2 linked regions of the Nothobranchius furzeri genome follow. The protein of the gene in region 2 interacts with the protein of the main gene of each other region in a pairwise test. Links are inferred from orthologs where the notes say so. Each region holds a gene or a part of one and is shown on either strand. Other genes may lie near its edges.

Region 1 (3,523 bases), on a different chromosome or scaffold from region 2:
GTTCAATTAGAAAAGTGGAAACAAGACATAAAAATCAGACGCAGAAATGAAACGCGGGCTAGCGTTAGCTACCATTCTCCTGAGCAAAACGGGATGCTTCCAGGAAGGTCACCTCTCTGTCTGCATCCAGGTCCTTCTTGTTCCCACACAGAATAATTACGATGTTGGGGCTCGCTAGAGTCCTCGCGTCTGTGAGCCAGTTAGTCAGAGTGTTATACGTCTCTCGACTGTTGGGAGGAAAAGACAGAAGTGTTTAATGTTGGCGACACATAACGCTAATAACCATAAACACTGTTATATAGGAGCCTGACAGTCACAGAACTTTCAAGGAAACATTTCTGGGCTGAAGTCACTGGTTTTGGTGGAAGTAGGGCCCCAGTTGCCATGGTAACATGAGGTCAGTGAGGTGAAGAAAAGGGTGTGGGGTCCTCACAGGGATGTTTAACAGCTGTTTTCACTAAGTAAAGACTGACGTAACTCTTTGTCCACTCTTTTTTTCCCCTGTAAACACTTGAAGCGTCGCCTCCTGCTGCCCACCTCTGCCTCTCCTGCAGACGCCTCTGCACTGATCTACAGCAGCTACTCTCTGCATTACTCAAAACACAACTCCTCAATAACAAGCTGGAGTTTGCCCAGTCCAGACCCCCCCATCATTAAATCATACTGCTTATGGACACGCTGTGAAGCCTATAGGTCAGAATGGCTAACAGAACAGAAATGGTAAAAGGGATGGTCGTGAAAATGAGAGGGTGTCTAATTAAAATTATTAGCAATTTCTGTCTAAGACTAAATTATTTCATATGTCGTTTGAATAGGAGAAAGAGCCATACTTTGGAGAACACTTATGCAAAGGCGAACGTTATTTTTGTCACAAGAAAGCCAGGATCAGGTCATAAACAGCAAATGATTCCAGGGTTTTTTACCTTGTGATGTCGTAAACAAGGAGCGCCCCTGCTGCTCCTCTGTAGTAGCTACGAGTTACAGAGCTGCGAAAAGAAAACGGACAAGATGCAAAATAAGCCGGGAGAGCACAGGAGGGCAAAAACAAACCTGTCTGCTCATATAAGTGATCACAAACCAGGATTTCTCAGAGCTATCACACCGTGACTCCATTTGGGTTCAATAAATCATGTTTCTGTGAGAGGTCGCCAAAACCTTCACAGGCAATATTATGAGCCGTTACCGAAATCGCTCCTGGCCCGCAGTGTCCCAGATCTGCAGTTTGACCGTCTTCCCGGCAACATTGACCACCCTGGAACCAAACTCCACGCCGATGGTGTGGTTGGAGTCCTGTTTAACTGAGAGGAAACAAACAACACAGAAAACTGAAATGCTTTTGCAGAGGGGAAGTTTGATTTGTGTGTCACCCTCTGTAACAGAATGAAGCATAAGGTCCAGCTTAAACATTCTGACAGTTTTAACGTTTCACACATCAAATAATGCACTATAAAATGCACCCGGAGCCCTGAATGACAGGTTTATTAGATATACGTCTACAGCCTTGGGAACCAACGCCGACTCTGTGACGATCAGTTCTGAAAAATGAGGACTTAACTGAGCTTTTACTAAACCAAACTACACAAGAGTGTATTTGTACTCCCAACAATATAAAATTACTGCTCAGATGGATTATTTTAATCAGCATTTTCTTTAAAAACATGGAAAGTTAAGAGTCGAGTCAGTGAACAGTAGTATTACAACTCTGAACCGATTTAATGATGACCTGCTCTAAGTGTCAGAAATCTAGACCCACACACGGTTCAAGACATCGTTACAGATTTACTCCACTCAGCAGTCATTCACTCTTCTTGTACCTCCCTAAAGTTTTCATTTCAACAGCATCAGTTTGGTCGGTTTATGTGCGAACAAATGAGCTGGGTTGGGTTGAGACTTACACTTGTTCTCGATGAACTGGTGAAGGAGACAGGATTTCCCCGCCCCAGCACTGCCGATCACCAGGAACTTGAAGAGGAAGTCTGCGAGCAGATGAGAGATGGAACGTCAACGCGACAGAAACACAGGTGGTAGTTGTGCAGCCCTTAGCCTCAGATAAACCCTTAATCCCGTTAAAGCCACTACTTTCACCAAACTCAAATTAGCCAGCTAATCACAGAGCTCTGGAATCATAAAAACCTTCATCAGTTATGAGTCCCGATGTTTGTCTGGTGTGAATTAGGAGCCCCAGACTATCACACCACCTCCACCATGCCTTACAGCTGGTGTGGTGTTGAGATCATTTAGCCTCCTTTCTGTTGTCAGACAGAGTCTAATGAGAGGATTTACCAGTGACTTTCGCACAGGAGCCACGTTGGTTTGGATTAACAAATGAAATAATCATTTAACTGCATTCTGTTTTTGCTCTGGTTATTTTTGTCTGATGCTTTAATGTGTTTATGAAAGAAGTGTAAGAAAAAAGCAAAACAGAACAAACGCGTAAGAAACTCTTTCAAAGAAGTGACTGAGGACTTTGAAAAAGGGTTTTATGTAGCCGCCATGTCAGGTTTAATGGGAAAAAAAATTAAGGTGGAATCAGTAAGAAAACCAAGAAAGAGGATATGTTTATAAGACCATGAGATCAAATTACATTTGCAAGGACACCTTCCCTCCTGAAAGTCTGTTTCAGAGAGGAAATAAAGACAAAGGGCAGCTTGGGTTTGCACACAATCACAGAGAAGTGCTGAATGGAAAAACAGATGCTGATTTACCAAGTAAAGAGAATATCTCGTTATGGTTTAGCTGCACAGATTGTTATTCAGCTCCTCCACGAGATTTAAACTCATTAAGCCTTGGAGGCACCTCCATCAGCGCGCGCACACACACACACACACACACACACACGCACACACACACACACACACACACACACACACCAGCAGATTGGTGCATTATCCTCTATAGAGGATTTTCTTCAGCAACACAAACTCAAGAAGTCAATTTCATGAGACTATGACCATCTCAACCACACAGAAGAAGAACTGAGACTCCCAGGTTAACAGATTTCTTGCCTCAGCTTTTCAGAATCCTCCCAGGATATACCAGAAATCCCCCCCCCCCCCCCACCCCCCCACACGAGATCTGCAAACAACTATCCAGCTGTCAATATGTCAAAGCCATAGAGAAGGCATAAGACAGCTTGGCCCTCTCCACATGCTATTGCATTCTTTACACATCAATATTAAGGAAGGCAAATGTCCCGTTACATCTGGCGTAGAAGTAACACAGCATTTAAGACAAAGAACATCACACCAACAGTAAAATATGGTGGTGGTAGTGTGATGGTCTGGGGTTGTGTTGCTGCTTCAGGAACTGGAAGGCTTGCTGTGATAAATGGAACCATGAATTCTACTCTCTACCAAAACATCCTGAAGGAGAATGTCCGGCCATCTGTTTGTCAACTAAAGCTGAAGCCATCTTGGGTGCTGCAGCAGGACAATGACTCAAAACACACCAGCAAATTCACCTCTGAATGGCTGAAGAACAACAAAATGAAGACTTTGGAGTGGCCTAGTCAAAGTCCTGACCT
Region 2 (3,586 bases):
CACTAAACCAACAACAAGATGTCAGAAAAATCCATTCTTTCTTACCTAATTGGCTGTTTGGATTGAACTGAGCCATTTTTAATTCATGCCCTTTGATCAAAGCTTACACGATCAAAATGTTGGTTTCTACTGAAATGTATTCTAGACACACTTGTGCTTGAGTCATGTCGGACACTAAAAACTGAATTAGTAATAACTTATGGAAGTTTTTTTTACCTTAATGAATAATGTATAAACTTCTCCCTGCACAGATGTACATTGAGTACCAGAACTGGAAGTTTCTGGTACACCGGCATCATGGCCGTTTCTACCTTTAGGGAGATGAAGCTCGGCCTTTGTGTGTTCCCATCATGCAGTGCAACTGCAGAGCTCGTGTCTGCACCCTGGTTGTTGACAGTTTCCCTTTAAAACAACACCAGAGTGGATTCTTGTGCACAAGAGCAGCTGCAGGACTTATATATTTGGCACAAGCAAAACATATTTTTAATGTTAGCAGAGATATAATTACAGTTATTTTAATTATAACATGAATTTATGAACAATTGGTGTTTAAAAACAAAGGGAATTCTAATTTGATGGACATTGAAAATAAAAATACAAAATGCACATTTCCCACATTTTTAGGAGCCTACAAGCAGTCTTCCACTGCTTGTAGTCTGTGTGATGATGCATCACCTTGAAGGTGCATCTTCTCATCAAAGCTCATTTATCCTTGGACGGAGAACAGCGAGCGTTCCGGGAGTCATTAGCTGAAATGTCGACCCAGTCTGGCTGACCGGTAGTCCGCCCTGAGCTGGACAAAGGCGTGCAGAAGGTTCCGGTCCAGGTTGGTGAGCTGCTCCCCCGAGCAGACTTGCTTCAGGTTGTCGGGAGCAACCACCAGCAGGTTACAGAGGGCGTGGAGTGTGTCGAAGAGCTGCAGCACCAGAGGGACCTGAGGACGGAGACGTTACAGCAGATGCATTAAACTACAGGTGAAGTGAGCCAAGCCGCGTTCAAAGTTCCTCTCTCACCCTGAAGTCCTTGGCGCATCGTCGGTACTCGGCCACGTCGCAGATGGCCAACATGCCCCCCATGGAGCTGTAGCTGTACTGCTGTAAATGCTCGTGGATGAGTCTGTGAAAGCGCACCCCCAGCTCCGTCAGCACCGTGTCCACGTTTTTCCCATCCATGGACTTCCGCACGTGCTCCACCTGCCGACTGACGTAGGCACACACCTTGGAGCAGGCCTGCCGAAGGAACCAGGAGAATGGTTTGTATCATCAACAAATGTTTATCTTAAAACGATTCATTTTATTTATGGGGCGAGTCTCTCACTGAAGTGCACTGGATCATGACATTGTTCTCATCCTCAGGCCTGAAGTCCGTTTTCTTCTGCTCAGTGGTCAGGACGTGCTTCATCTGCCCCACCATGCAGTTCAGTGTTCTGTGTGACAGAAACGCAGATCAGAAGGTTTCCATTTACTCATGGAAACAGATTTTACACTATAAACACATCAACCTGTCGATTCCCGTGTCCAGTTTCACCTCCATCTGCTCGATCACTTCTTTCTTCTTGTGCAAACACTCCGCCAGCTTTGGGGAAGAGCTGTAGACGAGAGTGAATTCAAAGGCTAACCCCCTAATGAAAGCACTGCTCAAAAGTTAAGCATCACTTAGAAACTTCACTGTTTTTCATGGAAACACATAAAAGGGTCCTATAGTCGTGTTTATGTGCGTTTCCATGGAAAACAAAAACATTTCTTGGGTATTTGCTAAAGAATAAAGTACACAAAAACTAGAATGCTGGCTTGTATCCGACCTTATTAAAGGCATCAGCTGGTCATTAAACTGCTTGTCAAACAAATGGAAGATGGAGTTCGCCTGCTGAACCACGTCCAGGAAGTACAGGTTGGCATTCTTGGCATCAGATGAAGGAATCGCTGCAGATCAAACAGACGTGAGACCAGTCAGATCAAAATGTAGATGAAAGCATCATTTTTATCATTTACAGTAGGTGGACTCTTAAAAAAAATGTTCATTTTGAGAAATGATCTGGAAAGACCAGACGGACACATTCTGTTGTCACTTAGACGTTCGTACCTGCGAGGCCGATCTCCAGGGCGTAGTCGATGTGCTCCACACACAGATGTTCCACCAGCAGGAGGAAAATCGAGAAGGCGTTTTTGGGCAAATCAGAAGGATCTGAAAGCTGTTAAATAAAAAAATAAAAAATAAACATTTTTCCTTGAGATGCTCTCCACCAACGACCAATGAATCAAATATTATCTCAAAAAATAAAGTTTTAACCGCCTCTGAAGCACACAGTCCTGAAAAGACCTTATCCCCCTTCTAAATGATTGGATCATAACCCATCCATCATTGATCTGCACAGAACACTGTGTGTGCAGGACATGCTCGCACTCGGTGGAGCAGCCGAACAGGAAGAGAAGCTAGCTGAGCTGCTTTGGTGTCATGGACGAAATGTCCTGTTCCGTTTGCAAGTCTCATTTGTTTTACACATCCTGTTCAGAGTCTGGTTCTGTTCCTGTTGGGAAACGTTTAGGTGATGGAGGTTTTGTTTTGGGAATGAAGAGAAAAGTCTCAACTCTGCGTGGGAACGAGTGAGTGTGTGAGTTTATGTGTGCTAGGGCTGGGCGATGTGGCCTAAAATCAATGTCACGATATCCCGAGGATTTCACCTCGATAACGATAAATGTTCGATTTATTGCCTAGCCCTAATGTGTGCACTTCACCCTGAGCAGGCGGAAAGGACAGAGTTCAGTTCGTGTTCTAGAAGTTTTGTTTGTGCTGGTGGCAAAGAACCGTAGTGGTTTTGAATTTTAGAATAAACCAAGAAAGCTGAAAACTGGATTGTTTTTCACCAAAAAAAAAAACACCAAACGCCACAAAAGCTAGCATTCTAGTTTGGCAGAGGGGACACGCGGGAGGAGGTCTGCTTCGGAGTTGGATCTGAACATTTTGACCTTAGCAGCTCAGCAAACCTGCGTGTGTGTGTGTGTGTGTGTGTGTGTGTCACAAGCAGATGTTTTACCATTTTCTGACACCATCAGATTCTGTAACTCTAGGGGGGAGTTTGAAGAAAGGGATTGGTACTTAGATTTTTTGTTGTAGCTTGCTTGAATGCATTTTTCCAACAACACATAATCCATCTTTAAAGGCATACTATGCAACATTTTCCTTATTCTACATAACTCTCTCGAGCCAGTATGTGCTAAAATGACCTTTTACAGTGTTAATGAAATGCCACTAAGACCTCCACCGCCCTCTGTGGCCAGAATATCACACTTGCAACTTCAGAGTGCCGGTCCAGTCTCTGCTGAACTTAGTAAAGGGGAGCTGACATGCCTGGCACTGCAGTCTGCTTCCAACACGTTTCCTGTTTGTTTAGATCGTGAACACAGCTGATTTGTTTGATTTAGTGATGAATCACTCCTGTGGAATCTAATGAAGGCTGAGGAGACATTTCAGCAGTTAGATTATGGGGTTCAAAAGTCGACCGCAGAGCGACAGCGGCGCCCACAAGGGGTAGAAAATGCTGGCCACGCCAGAGAAGACCAATGTTCTTTGATGAATCATATCAATG

Evidence for each region.
Region 1: the proteins of exoc5 (region 2) and rab4b interact in binary tests that used the Homo sapiens proteins (3 or more experiments, as listed by UniProt). The two-hybrid records come from large-scale screens. The link is inferred for Nothobranchius furzeri from reciprocal best matches to the Homo sapiens genes EXOC5 and RAB4B.

Annotation. Positions count from the first base shown.
Region 1 is NC_091753.1:41,301,555-41,305,077, forward strand, and holds part of rab4b (ras-related protein Rab-4B), read right to left. Parts: intron 1,977-3,523; coding exon 1,896-1,976; intron 1,299-1,895; coding exon 1,184-1,298; intron 987-1,183; coding exon 924-986; intron 228-923; coding exon 73-227; intron 1-72. UniProt on the Homo sapiens protein: The small GTPases Rab are key regulators of intracellular membrane trafficking, from the formation of transport vesicles to their fusion with membranes.
Region 2 is NC_091758.1:32,181,007-32,184,592, forward strand, and holds the end of exoc5 (exocyst complex component 5), read right to left. Parts: intron 2,192-3,586; coding exon 2,083-2,191; intron 1,923-2,082; coding exon 1,802-1,922; intron 1,589-1,801; coding exon 1,502-1,588; intron 1,427-1,501; coding exon 1,318-1,426; intron 1,230-1,317; coding exon 1,014-1,229; intron 935-1,013; coding exon 746-934; 3' UTR 516-745; downstream 1-515. UniProt on the Homo sapiens protein: Component of the exocyst complex involved in the docking of exocytic vesicles with fusion sites on the plasma membrane.